Drosophila melanogaster: one gene and its partners. The protein of the gene in region 1 interacts with the protein of each later gene in a pairwise test. Each region holds a gene or a part of one and is shown in the gene's direction. Other genes may lie near its edges. The genes, in order: GEFmeso, Fkbp39, idc and pgc.

The links.
Region 2: the proteins of GEFmeso (region 1) and Fkbp39 interact in a two-hybrid assay, tested with the Drosophila melanogaster proteins (one large-scale study listed by BioGRID).
Region 3: the proteins of GEFmeso (region 1) and idc interact in a two-hybrid assay, tested with the Drosophila melanogaster proteins (one large-scale study listed by BioGRID).
Region 4: the proteins of GEFmeso (region 1) and pgc interact in a two-hybrid assay, tested with the Drosophila melanogaster proteins (one large-scale study listed by BioGRID).

Annotation. Positions count from the first base shown.
Region 1 is NT_033778.4:18,608,763-18,613,634, reverse strand, and holds the start of GEFmeso (guanine nucleotide exchange factor in mesoderm), read left to right. Parts: upstream 1-1,857; 5' UTR 1,858-2,902; coding exon 2,903-2,954; intron 2,955-4,872. Other genes in the region: CG10927 (uncharacterized protein), read right to left, coding at 1-508; CG42697 (uncharacterized protein), read left to right, coding at 940-1,152, 1,209-1,344, 1,557-1,627.
Region 2 is NT_033777.3:15,331,048-15,334,950, reverse strand, and holds Fkbp39 (FK506-binding protein 39kD), read left to right. Parts: upstream 1-1,817; 5' UTR 1,818-1,922; coding exon 1,923-1,938; intron 1,939-2,122; coding exon 2,123-2,335; intron 2,336-2,402; coding exon 2,403-3,247; 3' UTR 3,248-3,367; downstream 3,368-3,903. Other genes in the region: Cyfip (cytoplasmic FMR1 interacting protein), read right to left, coding at 1-1,285, 1,356-1,562; mRpL9 (mitochondrial ribosomal protein L9), read right to left, coding at 3,394-3,903. UniProt on the Drosophila melanogaster protein: PPIases accelerate the folding of proteins. May function in a signal transduction cascade during early development.
Region 3 is NT_033777.3:20,029,978-20,034,875, forward strand, and holds idc (identity crisis), read left to right. Parts: upstream 1-1,845; 5' UTR 1,846-1,962; coding exon 1,963-2,133; intron 2,134-2,187; coding exon 2,188-3,188; intron 3,189-3,346; coding exon 3,347-3,481; intron 3,482-3,538; coding exon 3,539-3,649; intron 3,650-3,903; exon of another isoform or gene 3,904-4,064; coding exon 4,065-4,212; 3' UTR 4,213-4,318; downstream 4,319-4,898. Other genes in the region: trem (trade embargo), read right to left, coding at 1-24, 81-215, 272-1,032, 1,087-1,233; Regnase-1 (regnase 1), read right to left, coding at 4,319-4,898.
Region 4 is NT_033778.4:22,328,409-22,333,364, forward strand, and holds pgc (polar granule component), read left to right. Parts: upstream 1-1,791; 5' UTR 1,792-1,853; coding exon of another isoform or gene 1,854-2,596; intron 2,597-2,653; coding exon of another isoform or gene 2,654-2,795; intron 2,796-2,849; coding exon of another isoform or gene 2,850-3,224; intron 3,225-3,439; coding exon of another isoform or gene 3,440-3,524; intron 3,525-3,586; coding exon of another isoform or gene 3,587-3,636; exon of another isoform or gene 3,637-3,664; intron 3,665-3,762; exon of another isoform or gene 3,763-3,763; 5' UTR 3,764-3,788; coding exon 3,789-4,004; 3' UTR 4,005-4,405; downstream 4,406-4,956. Other genes in the region: Gp150, read left to right, coding at 1-116; CG34207 (uncharacterized protein), read right to left, coding at 1,007-1,312; T3dh (type III alcohol dehydrogenase), read right to left, coding at 1,854-2,596, 2,654-2,795, 2,850-3,224, 3,440-3,524, 3,587-3,636; CG34208 (uncharacterized protein), read left to right, coding at 4,744-4,896.

The DNA of each region.
Region 1 (4,872 bases):
CAAGCAATTGCCCGATCCTTTTGTGAAATGTGCGTTGTGCGGAGCTAAAGTTGCTGCCATTCCTCAGTGACTCCGAGTAGTGATTAGGGTGAAACTTGCAGGGCCAGTGCTTAAGGGTCTTCTCGTACTGCACCCGCAGTCGGGGCATCCGTTCCGGCACCTCCACCACCCGGACTCCCTGGCACAAAGCACGGAGCACGTGCTCCGAAAAGGCAAACTGTTCAAGGTGTTGTTCCAGGCTTTGAGACACTCCGATCTCTGAGCTGGGACATATGAGCACGCTGCGATCCTGGACGCGCTTTAGGTGTTGAAAGTGGGGCAATTTCTGTGAGAGCTCCTGGATGACCGCCTGGAGCTGCTGTTTCGTCTCCAACTCGCAACTGTGCGCCTTGATGAGCGCAATATCCTCGTCGAACTCATCGGAGAGGATGGCCCGGATCCCAGTTATGTCTTCATCCAGATTGGGTGATTTTCGAGCACGTTTGTTTGGTGGCGCGGATATATCCATTATTTACTTAATTCTTCAATTAGAAGAATGCCAATTGGAATCGATTGAAATAGGTTATCGATAAGTGCCAAGCGCTGGCGTTGAAACAGCTGTTTGGATATTAAGCGCCAACTTTGAAAAATGTCTTCTATTTAAAATATGCATTTAAAAATAATTTAGTGAAAGATTATACGTTTAAAAGTCTTTAAAGCTATTTAGCTTGGGAGCTGTTTCAAATATTTCCTACTTTTGATATACATTCCCTAATACTTAATCTAATCAGCTCAATAATCTGATCAATTGTCTAATTTGCATTATAATTCCTTACAACCAATATCTTTTTTGATGTCTACATGTAAGCAGTGCCCAGTCTGATACCCAAAGTTTAAATTCAAAATTCCAGTGAAATATGTGCTTGTGATTTCTAGTCAAAACTTAGAGGAAACATCGAAATGTGTCTGCGCTTGTTTTGCGGCTATTTGTCGCTTTACATTGGCTGCATCTTCATCGGCTTCACGGGGATGCTTCTAGCTTTAATGGTCTTTTCTGTGGGTCTATTCGAGATGATCAAGGGCAATCCGGAAACAGTGCTTGTGGTCATGGCAATGGTCTTTGGCATTGTCCAAGCCCTAGCTAAAATTCTTCTTCTCCTCGGAACGATGTGGGTAAGTGAATACTTTTATCCTTAAATTTGTAAAGATATCCAATCGCTGTTCTACAGGACATGTGCTGGGCCATGCTCTTGTCCTTTTTTATAGGTATTGCGGCCCTGGGGCTCCTCATCGCACTTGTGGTGCTCTTCTACATCCTCTTGTGGGACCCTCTGCACCTCCTTCTGGGCGGTTTTCTTAGCATACGTAAGTTGGTGAAAAAATTTTGAATTTCTTTTGGATCTGAAAACAAAAGAAGATAGAGAAGTAGATTAATACATTAACTATCGAGAACTTCTTTCTATAACACACACACAACATATAACACAAACAAGCAACAAAACGTAGTGGACTTAAAAAGTACATAAATTCTATTCACGTTCGATTTTTAATTAAAATAATATTTTTCTCTTATCCAGTCGAGATGTACTACGAATGGGTCATCATTTCAACCTGGTGGTGCTGTCGATCATGCACCCACGACTGCTAGGAGTTGCAGTTGGTTCCACTTGTTGCATGCATAGAAGATACAAACATACCATGTTGGAGATCGAACGCCTTGGAATGAGCATACTATGCAACTCTCAGCGATCTTCGCATCGGATGTAATACTGTGAGCACCGAGAGAGAGAGAGAGAACTTGTATTCGAATCCCCCCATTATTTGTGTATGAGGTGACTTCGTGCTCGGGTCTTCCGACTTGAGTGTCTTTCAAGTAAGTCAGTTCACTCTGAGACGCGCGCTGGATATGTCGTTCCTGGAGCGCTCGAGCTGTTCCTGCGAATGAGCGTGTGTGTGCCAGTGTACCGCCCCCTACCCGTCAAGAAAAAAAAAAGGAAATAAAAATATCGGCAGGAAAAATATCAAAAATTATATCTGAAAATACACAAGTGTATCTGCAAGTGCAGTCGTATATGTGAGACGAGAGTGTTTTCCATTTGCCGCAATTAGAAGTAACGGTGCGAAGGTGATTTGCACGGGAGAAACTGGAAAATCAGCGAAGCGCGAGATACTTGTATCTGCAATTTGTGTGTTTTCGTTTTGTTTTCGGTTTCGCAAATAGCAAGTGAAGAGCCCATTACTTTAATTCAATCAACGATCGGTTGTTGTGTGGCCCGCTTTTGGAGAATCCCCACAATTTGTTCTAAGCCCAAATAAAAGTAATAAAATAAAAGCCCCAACCCCAGAGACAGAAGTCCGTGAGCCGGTTTAGTCATCCGAAAGTTCCGAGAACTGAGCGCAACATTGAGATACATTCGCGTATTCTCATTCCGAATCGCTGGACACCAGCTGTTGGCCACAATGCCTCCGTACCTGCTGGATATTTGCCTTACCTCGGAGCTTAGTAGACCGCGATAAGATATCGGCGACTAGTGGTGAATAAAGCCAGATACTCGTACTCGAAACTGCGAAAACGTCCATATACGACAAACAAACGGAAAAGAAAATCGCACAGTTCGGTGCCAGTGTTTAAAGTTAAATCGAGCGCTTATCTTATCGGCCAGCCATTGATTGAGCTTTGCCTTTCCGCTCTGCACCGGGTGAAGTCATTTGGCCACAATTCGCCCGTTTTAGATACTGTATCTGCGGCCATATCTAATGCAGCAGCCAAAGCAGTCGCGATAATAACGACCTCCTTCAGTGTCAGTTGCTCTGCAATCGCCGTCTAAATTTAGAGACAGATCAGGCGCGAGGGACCAGATCTGGCCAAAACCAAACCAGACGCACTCGGAAATCGTAAATCAAGCAGCCGGAGGAGACCAAGATGGACATAGAATCCGATTCGGACACCTCGGAGAGATGGGAGGACTTTTTTGGTAAGCGAACGGGATCACTGAACTTCTGCGTGCAGAAATGACATGACTCAGCGGGCTGGGGAGGTGCACTGAGGAAAAATCACGTATCAATCACAGATAGAGACTAGTAATATTGGTTTTCAGCATTTCAGACGACATTAGTCTACATTTTAATAATCCGTCATTGAAGGCATAAGAACATACAAAAGCTTAGGGTACTATATGTTTACAGTAGGATTATGAATAATATACATATGTCCCGATCTTATATTTCTTCCTGTGTGGGAGACACTACGCATTCTCCAAGAACTCCAAACTCCGAATATGGACTTGCGTACAAGAACAGACCATCAAGTTGGCTTTCTTTGGCTCGGCGGGTTGGGGGATGGTGATGGAATGGGGATTGCGGCTGGTGCTGGGACTGGGACTGGGGCCAATGCATTTGGTGGATCGACGGCACCGTTCCGTTCCCATAACTGTACAAAAAGTGGGGGGAAAATAAAATAACAACCCACTGAGTGGCATTGCGTGAATTGCGGTGTAACGGGTTCGCTTTGTTTTTGCATTCCGCTTTTGCGCAGTCCGAAATTTTTCGACATTATTTAAGCGCTCGAAAAGTCGGTTGTAATGAAATTTAATGATAATACATAATTTCGGGCCATTTTGACCCACATATTACCATACAAGTGTGGCCAAGAAAAGGTCTGTCTTCGGATTTGCAATTTATGTTTTGGGTGGCTCCATTCGGTTTGCTGACCCACTTAATTCGTAACGCCGATTTGCTTGTAACTTTGTGGCACATGCTGCATATTTGTTTTTCTTCTCACCGAAAGCTTTCGTTCAATTAAGTGCATTAGTCATAAGTCTTGACACTGCGTTTCTTTTGTTGACTTTCTTTATTATTATTGCACGCCCGCTAACAGCGGATGTTAGATAACGCCGCCCTTAGCGCAACAGCGCTGTAAGTAGCTCTGTTAGTTAACCCATGTTAGGCCAAAGAAGGTTTCCAAACTTATAATAATCAATAGTAATATGTATATGTAATAAGTAATATGTATTATCATACTAATTGCAAGTAACTCTATTAAAACTGTAAAACTGAATTTAAGCAATCTTTTGGCCAACACAATTCCAAACCAAATGTGTGAAGAGAGAGAGAGAGAATAACTAATTTAGTTAAGTACCTTCAAAAAACTGCCCGAAGAAAATAGTTTAAAACGGGTTAAGATGGTGCGTCAATTATTGATAACGGACACTGCGAATTCAGCAAGTGGCCTTTGTTATATCAATTATATACACATACATGAGTAGGGCGAATGAATCATGTATAGGTGATGGGGGGGTGTTGCGGCATTTATGGGTTTGTTCTGCTGATCCCACCAGCTTAGACATAGACGATTGTGCAAGTGGTTGACATTTGGCGGGGTCAGCAAACGTGACGCCATCTGTCGGCCGCATGTCCAGGATATTACCGATCGCATCGACCTATAAATAGAACCCGCCGAATGATATCGCCAGCAGTTGACCGCATGCACTATCAAATGTCACCAGTTCGTCTTCTTTTGCCCTTTCCGTCACCGTGTTTGTTTGCCTCTTCAACAACAGAGTCAACTTCAATTCCAGACAAACAAACAAAACGGGGGAATAAGAAATTTTCATCTGTGGACACAAGTGCATGAGCGCAAGGGGGCAGGGTGCCAGGTCAAGTCGTTGAATTACCACTCGTAACCACAAACACCACGGGAGTCTGTTCATTCGATATTGTTAAAGATTGTGATCTGAGGAAACCTTTTTGGGCCCTGCGGTTCGCCATCGATTCTCTTGTGACATTTATTTGGCTGGCCTGGCTTTCATATTTGGTTTATTCAATAAATACTAATAGATATCGATGGTAGTAGGGCTAAGGCGTTGATAAGATTTCGCCGCATGTATTTATTGA
Region 2 (3,903 bases), on another chromosome or scaffold:
TATTTTTTACGGCCTTTCGCAGCGGTTCACGAAGCGAAAGCTGCACGAAGTCCTGCAGCTCGGAATAGATGTTACGCCGGATAGCCTCGCACAATACGGTTTCAATGCGCGCCATTAGCACCTGCAGTCCCTTTATCATGGCGATGACCTCGATCAGCGCGAACTTCTCTTCCGAGGTGTAATTGTAGCGGGTGGCCCGCTCGTACTCCTCAGCCTCCACGGGGCACTCCTTGTTCTGGTGATGATCAGTCGGATGCAGGAGCTTCCAGGAGTACAACTCGGTGACCACACTGGTCCACTCGGACAGCAATTGAAGGCCGCGCAGAGCCAGGTCGGCCGTAATCCGGTTCTCGGCATCAGAGGGATTCTCCTTGACGGTGGTGGTCACCTCGTTTGTGTATCGCGCCAGCTCCGAAATGTACTTGACGTGATCCTCGCGTATCTGCGGCAAATGCACCATTAGATCCGCCTGTGGGCTGATGGCGTTTGAGCTGGACAGCGGCCACTTGCTGGAATCGAAGTGCTTGCTGCGCTTTATGTAGTTGAAGGGAGCAATCTGCATGTCGCCGAAGAGGGGCACCACTTCCAGGTTCTTAAAGATGCGATCGATGCGATCCAGCCGTATCTTCTTCTTTTGATCAAGTTTGTTGATATTGCACGCATCGCTGTCCATAAGGAACAGGCCAAAGCCCATAACTTTTACCAGCATGTGCTTCTCCTCAGGGGTCAAGTACATCTTTGTCTCGAACATATGCACGCAAATGTTGACCACATCTGAGAGCAGATCCTCGTAGCCCACGATCTTCTCCAGCGTGTCCTTGACCGTGTCGCGAATCTTGTTCTGCGTGGCCAGGAACATGGACAGATTCTGCGACTCCTGCAAGGTGTGCGAGTCCGACATCACTTTGAGGAACTGCGCAGCTCGCCTGTAGGTGGAGTAATCGTTCTTCACGCTGGACTTCATGTTCTTCAGCTCGTCCAGCACGGCAAACATGTTGATAAACTTGCCTAGCGTCAATAGGTACGCCTCGGACACGAAGTCCTTGCGCTTCTCGGCGTGGCACAAGCGCTTCACCTCGCCGGAGAAGGCCTCGATGGCCTTGCGTTGGAAGTACATGAAGTTGAGCAGCTTGTTCACCTCCGGGGCTAGCACCTCGACCGTCTTCTCGTAGATCTCCACGCGATTCGGCTGCTCATTGGACTTGGGCTGCGGAATGGCGCGCGAGCAGCAGCGCCAGGTGTAGAGCATTACTGCGTGTTTCTGCCCCTCGTCCAGGAGCACATTCTGCGGGCGGAGAGAAGGGGTTCAGAGCTGTGAGTAATGCTAATGCGATAAGCCGGATACGCTAACTCACCAAGTTGGCATGGGTGGTGGCCTCCTCGATGTACTTGGCGATACCCGTGACAAATCCATTGCGATCCTCGAAATTCGTATCGAAGTTTGCCTTGTAGATAATCGAGCAGGGCTGCGCCTCGATGCAGGGCTGCTCGTCCGGCAGGGATAGCTCGTCCAACACCTCCACGTTGGACAGCGCGTCGGCTAGCGTAATCTTCTCCGTCATGCTGGGCTGCTTATCATGCTCCAGCAGCGCGAAATGGTTAAATTCTAACAAGGCGGGGCCCCAATCCAATCGACACAAATTTTTTTCGCCACAAATACAACACGACTTTTACCATTCGCCTGGGTGCGTGGACACGTGGCCATAATTAGCACATTTTTGCTGGCGGTTGGCGTCTACGATGTGCTTATGCTTATATGGCTGCGCACCGCTAATTTCGATAAGAGAAAGATAATCGATAAATACGGCGCATTGGCGGCACATCACATCACTAGCGTCTGTGGTTCCGTTTCGTTTTAGCGAACTCAATTTCTCCTATTTTATATTGCATTTTCCGTTAAGAGTAGCCTACAATTCTGCAAGATGTCGATGTTTTGGGGTAAGTCGAACTGATCTCACTTGCCCCCTCCGGGCTGGTTGTGCCAACGAGCTCTTGGGTGCTCCGACCGCGCTTTTATTGCCACCACGTGCTTGCCGCTCGATTTACCGGCAGCGTGGAGCGGCGCCATTTGCACGCCGATGTAAAGTAAACCATGTTTTTGACCAACTGTGTCCTCTTCCAGGTTTGAACATGAAGCCTGAGCGCAAGTACTCGCAGACGATCATCAAGTCGTTCCACATCTCGGGCGTGGCACTCGACAAGGGCCAGGAGGCCAAGTTGTACCTCGCTGCCGAGAAGCAGGAGTACATCGTGGCCACCGTGACCAAGGCCATTCCACAGGTTGCGCTCGACCTGAACTTCAGCAAGGGCGATCGCATCATGTTCTACACCGCCGGTAAGACCTTTTATGTCCACTATGTTCGCATGTTTATCCGTTTCTGACGCTTTCGTTCGTTTCACAGGCGACGCCAGCGTTTCTCTGTTGGGCTACTTGCACGACATTGATTCCGAAGATGATGAGGATGACGATCAAATGACGATCGAGAATTTGCTGAACTCCAAGGCGATCAAGAATAGCAAAAAGTCTGAAGATGATGAGGATGAGAATGAGAGCGGCGAGGAGGACGAGGAGGATACTGATGACGATAGCCAGATAATCGAGGAATACGAGTCCTTCCTCGAAAATGGTGAGGAGGAAGATGACGACGATGTTGATGAGGATAACGAGGAGAGTGGCGAGGAGGATGAACAGGACAGCGACGACTCCGAAGCTGAAGAGGAACAGCCAAAGGCCAAGGTTGCCAAGCTCTCTCCTGGCGCTAGCGCCAAGAAATCTGGCAAGGAGCAGAACGGTGTGGCCAAGAAGGAGGAGGCCAAGCAGCAGCAAAAGAAGAAGGAGAAGCCAGAGGCCAAGAAGGAACAACCCAAGGCCAAGGAGCCAGCCAAGCAGCAACCAGCTTCTAAGGATCCACGTACTATCACCGGAGGCGTGAAGATTGTGGATCAGGTCGTCGGCAAAGGCGAAGAAGCCAAGCAGGGCAAACGCGTATCTGTTTACTACATCGGCCGCCTGCAGTCGAACAACAAGACCTTCGACAGCCTCCTGAAGGGAAAACCATTTAAGTTCGCCCTGGGCGGCGGAGAGGTCATCAAGGGCTGGGACGTGGGAGTCGCCGGCATGAAGGTGGGCGGCAAGCGAGTCATTACCTGCCCCCCGCACATGGCGTACGGCGCACGGGGAGCTCCACCGAAGATCGGACCGAACTCCACTCTCGTCTTCGAAGTGGAACTGAAAGCTGTGCATTAGTGCACTATATTAACATCATATAGACTTGTAATCCTAAGTAAGTATCCACGTCGTACAACTTGATAAAAATGTTAAATAAACTCTGTTTTCCGGCTGTTCATAAATCAACAGTTTTGTAACAATCGCATGTATTTGGTATGGGGTCTCTAAGGGGTTTTTTCGGGTGAACATACATCCAGCAGGGGCTCAGACTGGAGTTTCCAGTGCTCGAGTACGTAAGGCAGCCGTTCGCTGGGATCTGTGCTCCAGTGGTGCAGACGACACTTGAGTCGCGCCTGTTCCAGCTTGTTTATGGTCACAGTGCAGTAGAAGTCCTTGTTCTCCTTCTTCAGGTCGGGTCCCTCGATGCGCTCCTTGGGCAGGGTAATGCACTCCTCGCGACAATAGAACCCAGTCTTGCGCAGCGAGGCCTTGATGTGCCAGGGCTCGAGCACCCATGGCTCATCCTTGTTCATGACCACCGCCAGCACAATGGTCTCCAGCATGTTGACCGTGCGCTGGGCGTAGGGGGAGCTGTGTTTAACAGTCGATTTTTCAGCCTCTGTCTTGGCGTACTTGGCCACATTCTCCGGCGTATTGTACGCGGCCAAACCCGGCAGCAGGAGCTTATTGTAGACAAAGTGCGGCTTCATTGACACCACGTCGCCCTTGTCGCC
Region 3 (4,898 bases), on another chromosome or scaffold:
TAGGGACGCTCCTTAGTGTGAATTCTGGAGAGAAATAATGTCAGTTTAATTTACTTTCAACTGTTTCGAATATTTCTCACCTATGATGTTTGGTTTTCGTGGATCGATCGGCGAAGGCAGCTGGACAGTAGTTGCACTTGTATGGTCGGTTCCCCGTGTGAGTGTTCATGTGCCGTACCAGCTGTTGATTCTGCACAAAGCCTCTTCCGCAGATCCTATAATAACATCCTATTAGCCATAGTTACTATTTACTTTCAACTTTTAAACCTACTCGCACTCGTGTGGTTTAACACCAGAATGGAATTTCATGTGCTCGGTGAGACGCGCCTGAGTCGGATAGATATTTCCGCACACATCGCAGATGTATGTGCTCAGCTTGTTGCGCGGCTTTCTGCCCACCTTCTTTTTGAAGGTTTCCACTTTTGGGCTATTCTTGTGGTATGCAACTGGCTTCCTGCCCGATCGGTCGCATTTTTCCGGCTTAGCATGAGTTGGGTCATAATCTTCGTCAGAGTCGAGTATGTCTTCAGCAATTTCTTCTTCGGGCGGCTCCTCTGTGGCAACATCTGTGCCGGTGGAGCCTTTTTCCTGTGCGATTTCCGGCGAGTTTTCGTTGGTGAGCAGTTCGTATTCCTCGTATTCAGCATAGGTTTCAGCCTCCTCGATCTCATTTGGCACCGGCTGCGTGGGATCGTGCACATCGAACATATTGGTATCATCAGTATCACCATCCTCCACGACATAGGTGATAACCTGATGTTGCTGATCCTCCTCGCCCTCCACTTTCATGCCGCCATCCAGCTGACTGGCGTAGTCCTCCCACGACTTCAGTACGCTCTCCACCGAAAGGTCCTCCGCGATGCTAAGCAAATCCCCTTCGCCGGCGGCGTTAGCATTGCTGGCCTCCCGGTCCAGCATGTCCATAATGTGCTGATGGGATCGCTGGCATGTCAGACGGAACTTGTAGCAGAGCCGCAGGCAGCGCACGCACTTGCTGCACATCTTGTCCGGGAAGTTGTCATCTAGGCTGACCTGTTTGGGTTGGAATAATTTAAAATGGGCAAACCAAGCAGGATTCACACTTACTGGAATGCCTGCGCAAATGTGCAGCATTTGGTCCAGTCGCGTGCTTGCCGTTTCGCTGAATATGTCGTGGAGCAGCTCCTCGCCCTCGCTGGGATTGTTCAGGCAAACGCGGCACACCACCCACTTCTCGTTGGACTCAGTTTTCATGGCTAATTCGATAAAACAATCACTTCGGTTGTTGCAGAAGATTCAAACAGCTGAATTTAAGCGTCCACGGCCACTGGCCATTCACAGCGAAACGCGCCCGCCAAAGTTGATACGGTGAATGCACGTTATGAACGACTACATGGAGCGTACAGGGTACATAGCTGTATGTGCACTTTTTACCAAACAAATGTTTTAAATAATTTTTTTTTGGTAGAAAATAATATAAAAATGCGCGTCATTTTATTAATTTTATTTTCAATTTACAAATATTGAAGGAAAATGGTTTTAAGTTCGTTTATATAATAAAAAGGAAAAGCACTATTCTATCAAAGTAGTTTTGTTTCAGTACAGTAATGACCACACTGTCTTATGGAACGATGGAACTTTACATGAGCTTGACATATAATATTGTATTAAACTGCTTAATCAAGCTTTTATATATTTAAATTGTAAAACACTTGAATTCCAATTTTACTGATTTATTTAACTGCCCACAAAATGCATTCGTATTCTTAATTATATATTTAATATTTGAAGTAGCGAATGGAATACCCTTAGCGTCGACTGTGGTCACCCTGTGTGGCGACATTCGCATTGCAACGCGTGCACTTCGCTCCAGACTACAATCTATTTTTTTGGCGTCGTCTTCGTCCAGCGAGCGTGTTATTATAAATATTATAGCGGAGGGTAAGTAGCCTCCTGGAAGAGATCCATCTCCTATTCGCGACAATGAGAGACTCGGCAGCACATGCGAGTCCGGCGGCAGCGGCAACGAGCACGCAGAAGTGGATCGTTTGCCGGGTTTGCCTGCAGCAGCCCAAGGAGCCCATGGCCAGCATTTTCAACGACGATTCGGAAAAGGATCTGACCCACATGATTCGCGAGTGCGGCGGAGTGCCCGTAAGTTTGTCCCATTGGACCCCGAACCATATAACAATGCAATTTCCTTGGCAGATCAAACAGTTCGATCACTATCCGGACAAGATATGCGAGAAGTGCTTCAAGGTGCTGAAAATGGCATTTAAGTTTCGAGAGACCTGCCAAAGATCGTACGGCCATCTGCGCCAGTTCGTTGGACCCGTAGAGGTGGAGCAGCGACCACCGGAGAAAAAGGGCTCAGAGACAGCCACCAAGCTGGAGCCGGATGTCGATCCCGATGAGGCGGAGCAGGAGCCAGAGCATGACGAGGAAGACGAGGATGTGGACCTGGACGAGAGCCACTATGCCGAGGCGGACGATGCCGCCGAAACGCAGGGTGGTGTCTTCCATGACGAGATTGAGGATGGTATCCTCGTTGAGCTGGAAAAGGATCGGATTGTGCACGTGAAGAACGAGCAGGTGGAGGAGGACGGCATAATCGAGGAGGTTTATGACGTGTATGAGACGTACGAGGGCGACCTCATCCCAGATCAGGGCTATGACCACGAGATGGCCGATCAAGCCCTGTCCGAGTTATCTGCCGAAATCGAATACCTGGACCAGGTCGAGCATGATCAGTTGACCGAAAGTGCCCACGAGGATGATGCGGAAGTCGATCTGAACTCAACCGAAGAGGAGTTCGTTCCCTCAAAAAGCGTTCGCGCGTCCATCCATGCGCGGAATGCCACCAAGCGGAGAGTGAATCCCCGCAGGTCAGCTACATCGACGGCCTCGGTGGCTGTAGAATCGAGTACCTCCAAGACAACTGACCGCGGCAATCCACTTAAGGTACGGCGGGGTAACAGTGATTCGGCTGGCAGCAAAATGAGCATCAAATCCGAGAAGGACATCTCGATTGGCGAGGTGCTGGCGCGCAAGCATTCCGGCATTAAAACCAAAGGCGGCCACAAGATCCTTCTTGGCGACAAGAAGGAGTTCAAGTACATCTGCGATGTCTGCGGCAACATGTATCCCTCCCAGAGTCGCCTTACCGAGCACATCAAGGTCCACTCCGGCGTGAAGCCGCACGAGTGCGAGTAAGTAACTTCACAGTTTTTACTGCGTGTTCACTATGTTCTTTGGAGTGTTATTACGATTTTAGCTCATATATCCGTCTAATTCGGGTATAATGATTGTGTGGAAGTAATTAATCATTTTCAATAAGCCTTCATTAACTTAAAATCTCATTTTTCAGGATCTGTGGTCATTGCTTCGCCCAGGCTCAGCAGCTGGCACGCCACATGAACACCCACACCGGAAATCGGCCGTACAAATGCAGCTATTGCCCGGCAGCCTTCGCCGACTTGTCCACGCGTAACAAGCACCACAGGTAAGTTGGTGAGCTCCAATCCAAACCCGATTTGATTGAATAATTACCCGTTTGCAGAATCCACACCAACGAGCGACCCTACGAGTGCGATGTTTGCCACAAGACATTCACTTACACCAACACCTTGAAGTTCCACAAAATGATTCATACGGGAGAGAAGCCGCACGTGTAAGTTTCGCTTTCCCCCTGGCGGTTACAGTCCGTATTCTCTAGCACGAACTTTCACTGTTTCACAGATTGTTTATGCATACACTAGCTTCAGAACCAGATTGAGTTTTTTTTTTGATATAGAGAGATGGAAATCGTTTATAAAAATATACTTTTTATTCTATAAGAATGTACAATTCACAGTGGAAACTATTTTGAAAGAGCCATGCTGTTTCAAAAGATTATTGTTTACGAATATTACGTAGTATATTAATATTTTGAGTTTAGTTGATTGTTTATTAGGTGCCTGAGGCGTAAATAACATTAGATAAACAGGGAATGAAGTATTAGTGTTTAAATATTATAAGTTATAAGGAAGACATAAATTAATCAAGGATTCTAATCAATTTAAAACACGTTTGCTCTCTCTCTTTAGCTGCGATGTGTGCGGCAAGGGATTCCCGCAGGCGTACAAACTGCGTAACCACCGGGTCATCCACGAGAGGCGCGGCCAGTCCGCACGGGAATCCGTAGCCGGGCTGGTGTCCTACGACACGGCCAACATCGTTGGCCTGGATATGTAAATTTCGAGCGAGGACTCCACGTCGTCCCAAAGCGACACTTTACACTTTAAGCAGAAACACGCGTGTAATTACACATCTAATTATATTGATGAAATTTAAGCCTAGCCTAATTATGCGGAAATAAATTAAGAATAGCCGCGCATATGGTCTTGGCGTCGGTCTCCTCCGGATAGAGCTGCAGTACGGCATGCACCTGGTGCGGTGGGAAAAGGCTGCCCAGGTGATAGCGCAGCAATCGGCGCTGCTCCTCCCGCGGAAGCTGCTGCGAGGCGTGCAGCTCCTCGTTGATGCGCGAATCGGAGGCAGACAGATGGGCGAAGTTGTGAGCGGGCAGTGGCAGACCCAGTCCCTGATCCGTGACCGGGGCGGATGGCGTGCGCGTCAGATACTGGTGGTGATAGTTGGTGCTGGAGTTGGACTGTTGATGCTGCTGCTGTGCCTGGTGTTGTTGTTGCTGGAGGGGAGCACTGTAGGTGGGCACCAGCAGGCGGTAGGCGGGCGGCGGTTGTTGGCGCTGCAGCTTCTTGTGGCGATTGGGCTGGCTGGATTCCACGGCACCCTCTGAAAGATCCATTTGAGCGGAGAAGCCCTGACATACCTGCTCGATGGTATTTGACTTGGTGCGCCCCAGCGGCTCCCGGCTAATCAGTGAGTTGATCTTAACATTGTTATTATTGCCACCCGGA
Region 4 (4,956 bases), 3.7 Mb from region 1:
TCGTATACCAGAAGTTGAGCGAGGACATCGTGAAGCCGACCAGCAAGGAGCAGAAGGAGCCCAAGCATCTGAAGCAGCCAAAGGTGCACCGATACGCGCCCATCAATCAGGTCTAAGTCCACCTAGAATCAGCAGTTCCGGGCCGGTGGCCGCGGAAATCGAACGAGTTGCGCTGTTTTTCTAATTTATAAGTATATTGATAGTTGAAAAAGTGGAAAATCACATCAGACAATTGACTAAACACAAGCACAAGAATGTAAGAAACAGGAGGAGGAGCAGTAGGTGGCAGTTAAAAGTATTAGCGAAAGTGCGAGGAAACAAAGCAACAACTAAAAAATACTTGAATCCAAATAAGAGATTGAAAGAGAGAGAATAAATCTTTGACAAAATCCTTTATCCTTGAAATATCCTGTACCATCAAATACTGTTAAGACCAGTCAAAGGTCCTTGGCAACAGCAGAGGTGGGCTTTCAGAGAACGCGTTTGATGAGCAACCGTTTCGAAAGCAACGGATTTGCAATTTATCAAACCTCTGCCCACAATCCGTATCCAATTAGTCCATATCCGGGAACAACTTGAAGATTTAGTGCCATTTTGCCAAAATTCAAACCGAGCGAAAATTACTTAAACACATTAAGGTTTCTAAACTGAGTGTCAAGTCAGGAACAAGAAACGAGGAGCGAGGAACAGAAAGTAGTAAGAGTTTTAGATGCGGGTCTGTGTAGCAAACGGTTAGGAGACTCCCTAGAATGACGTCTGATTTTTAATATGATCAAGAGATGAGAGAAATAATTAATGCATAAACTATGTTAAGACTTTTTTATTATCTTTTTTCCAATCGAAGGCAAGTAACAGCTTGACCTATTCGACATTGAAACCGATTCCGAAAACAATAAATTATTTTAACCAAACCGATCGTAATCTTTACAATGCATACTTAATAGACATACACACTTGCATACGTACTTTAAACAATAACATGCCTTTCAATAAAATTGAATATATTTTATCTGCGTTCAATAAAAGACTCAAGTTGACCGACATCCCCTTCCTCCTTTACGTAGGTGCTCAAATTCCGCTGGAAACAGAGTGCCAATTCGTTATCTTCCCGATCCCGTTTCAGTTCCTCTCTGACCTGCCGCCACATCCGTTCAAATCCACTATCGAACGGCATTCCCAGGAAGCGATTATGTCTGGAACGGAGTTCATTGCCGATCTGCTGCCACATTGCCTCGAATTCCCCGTCGTAGGGCATCCCTAGAAATTTACCCTCACATCCGGAGGATTCGAACATGAAGGAGTACTCAAACATGTTTCAGTCTAAAATATATTATAATTACAAAAATTACAAGCTTTTTTTGGAGCAACTAATTTGTAGGATTTAATCCTTTTTTTTTTGTTTTAATGATATGATATCATGTATGATTTGTATGATATTATATTAATATTAATATCTTATATCATAGTATTTTTGGTCCCAGCGTCGGTCTTCTTCCTGCAGCTTAGGAAAGCAAACTGAGTAGAGGATTCTCAAACGAAGTGCAGACCAAAAAAGAGGCCACAAAATAATGCTGAATGTACATAAGATCCATTGCGACAAAGAACATAAAGTAAACAAAAATCAAGCAGGGCATCAAATTTCCTGTGATTCTGTATAGGGTTTTTAATGGTATTTTTCGTATATACACAAGTCCAACCAAAATTAAATGGTTCACTCTAAGCTTTTTATACGCTTAAAAAAAATAGAATTTTGAAAGCTCAAGTATGGTCAGATCTTAAACGAAGATCCGTTAGTTTAACATTTTTTTTTCTTCAAGAGAACAAGTTGAGCGTGGGTAAGTTTTGGCTCCAAATTAATAGACCTCCATGGACTTCTCAAAGAGTTGCGACAGGTTTTCCTGCGTCTGCGCCCTGGGTGCTAGCTTAGTGATCCTTTCCTGGGGCAGGGTTCCCTCCACCAAGGCGGGTATATCGCTGCTGGAGAATCCCAGCTCTCGGAGGCCATTTTCTATGCCCGCGCGTTGCATAAAACCGCGTACAGTGTCCGCCAAAAGACGACCGGCGTCTGCTTTTTCGACACCTCGCACTTCTGCGCCCAGCAACTGGGCAGCCTCCAAATGCCGATCCGGACAAGCTGGAGCAGTGAACTCAAAGACCGCCGGAGCACTGATCACCACGGATAGGCCGTGTGGAATAAGAGCGTGATCCGCGGAGTAGCCCTTTGGCTTGTAATCCCTCACATTTCCAGAAATAGGATAGGAAAGGCCATGACACAGGTGCACTCCGGCATTACCAAATCCCACGCCAGCCATTGTGGAAGCCAGGTGCATCTGGGATCGGGCTTCTAGGTTATCGGGCTGGTAAATGGCGTTCACAAAGTTTTTCCTTATCGTCTCCAATGCGAATCGTGCCCACACATCCGACACTGGGTTCCTGCCCTGGTAGGTGGGTCTCAAGCTGGGATCACTGGGCGCCAAACCGCGTTCCCTGTAATCCACCGCCGTGAAACTCTCCAGGGCATGGCAGAACACATCAAAGCCAGCGAAAGCCATCACGCGTTGCGGCTGGGATAGGGTGTGCAGAGGATCAATCACAGCTAGAGTTAGATAGAACGATATTAGAATAAATTATTTAAAGAAGTTCAGTTTTTTACCCAAAGTAGGTTTGAGGAACTTGCTGGAAATCCCAGTTTTGGCATGCAACTTCTTGTAATCAAATATAGCTACTCCAGTGGTTTCGGAACCTGTTCCCGAAGTGGTGGGCATCGCAATCAGGGGCTTCAGTTTTACGGATATCTAAATGGAATTCAAGTGGTATTAAAGGTACTAAGTCTAAAAAGGAGACCTCACCTCCTTGCCTCTGCCAATTGGGCAGTTTACATAATCCAAAAACTCTGCATTTGCATCACTGCTAAAAAGATTAGCTGCCTTGGCTGTATCCATGGCAGATCCTCCTCCGATGGCCAGAAATGCATCGAACTCCTTGCCGCGCGCAAACTCCACGGCATGCCACATGCTCCCATCCGTGGGCTCCACCCGGGTTTCATCATAGACTTCGTAGTTGATGCCATTACGAGCCAGTGAATCCAAGGCCACTTTCACGGAGGGCAATTGCACGACATTTTTATCCGTGACCAAACAAACCTTCCGAGCTCCCAAGTTGCGAAGATCGGCTCCCACTTCGGCACTTACTCCCGGTCCAAATCGAACAGTCGAGGCTGACATCTGTTTATCAATACATTTGACCAAATTTGAATTAGAATTTGTTATATACCGAACAAAATTTAAGTTAAAAGTATTCACAAGATCTAAAATATAAATTCTATTGGGATGCTTAAGAATATAGAGATAGTATTATCTGGTCCAGGGTATGACCACCTGTCTAAAGATGAGAATCTACTATCTGGAGGTGCTCCAAAGTCCAAGGTTTTGCCACTTACCTCGAAGGCGTATTCCATGCGACCCGTTTGGGAGGCGGTTGGAGCTGCTGAGCCATAGTTATGCGAATGGGCGGGGCACTTGCAGCTATAAGACCATACTTTATTTAAATCACTTGAAATCAGTTATAAAACGCAATTTTTACTTACGAGTTGGCCACGATCGTGTTGATCAAACCTAAGACATTCTTCCGCGACATTCTGTATATAAATGAAATCAGCTGGACTGGTCTTTCGTTTGATAAGAACCCGCCGAATCGATAGCTGGCGCCAAAAGACAGCACTTCATAATCGATAGCTAACAATTTGAAATTCTCTGTCTTGCAGCTTTGAACTACAAGAAGACCCGAAAATGTGCGACTACCAGATGGAGTACTCCTTTATTTTTGAAGACAGCTCCTGCGAGGGCGATGCCTCGATGGCATCCTACGACAATGGATTCGAGTCCATGTGGCATCAAGTGCGCGAGGAGTTGCAAAGGGAGCGGGAGATGAATGAGCTCTGCCAGGTTTTCCAGCAAAACTTGAGCCTGAGTCCGCCGGTCATCGCGGATAGATGGAGATTCTGACTGGACCTCCCAAAAGCCAACTTATTGTGATATTTGTAAATTATAGTTTTAGCAGTTCGTTTGCCACATGAGTGGAACATCGTGAATGCACTTTTGATAAGTGCTCGGTTATTTTATATTGTAACTACCAGCCTTCAGAGGCGATCGTATGCATAGTTTCTTGAAGTCAATTTGTCCGTGTATTCAAATGTTTGCTTTCGTGAAAACTCGCATTGTTTTGTCACTCTACCAAGTAATCAATTTGTACCAATCAATCGCATATGGTTGTCCTAGATCTAAAAATGGCAATAATTTGCCTTCGGTATTGCACCTAATGTATTCAAGAACAAGTAGGGAAGCTCGAAATTTCTCAAATACTTACCCAAAAAATAGATAGAAATATATTTTCGATTCGCAATCGTTCAAAAACCCATTCGTTTTTAATTACGGGTCCCACAGTAAGATGTGACTGCGATTCAATTGTAATGGGAACAATTGTTCCCATTACAATGGAGCTAATTACCTAAATGTATGTCCGCCCATTTTTCGCGCTGGATTTACAACTCAATTTGCCGCGCTATCTGGCCGATCTGCGAACATAAACTACTGGCAATGGTAAACGATGTTGACGGCAGTTTCCCTCATTAGCATGCAGATCGTCGCCGATCTTCTGGGCGCCAGGCCATAAAACGTTTGATTCCAGGCGTATCGTTCAGCAGTTTGTGTTGAACTGGTAATAACTCGACATCGCGATCGCGAGATGAAGTGGCTTAGTTTGTTCCTGGTATTCGGCATCCTCGGACTCATCGGCAGTCTGGGCACTTTAGCCCTAGCGGAACCCAATCCGGAGCCCAAGGGTCGTCCGCACACAACGCGACGTCCTCGAAACGATAACGACAACGATCGACGCTAGCAATCCGAGCGGCTGGAGGAGATGGAAAAACCCACGAAATCTCCCCGAAGATGCACCGAA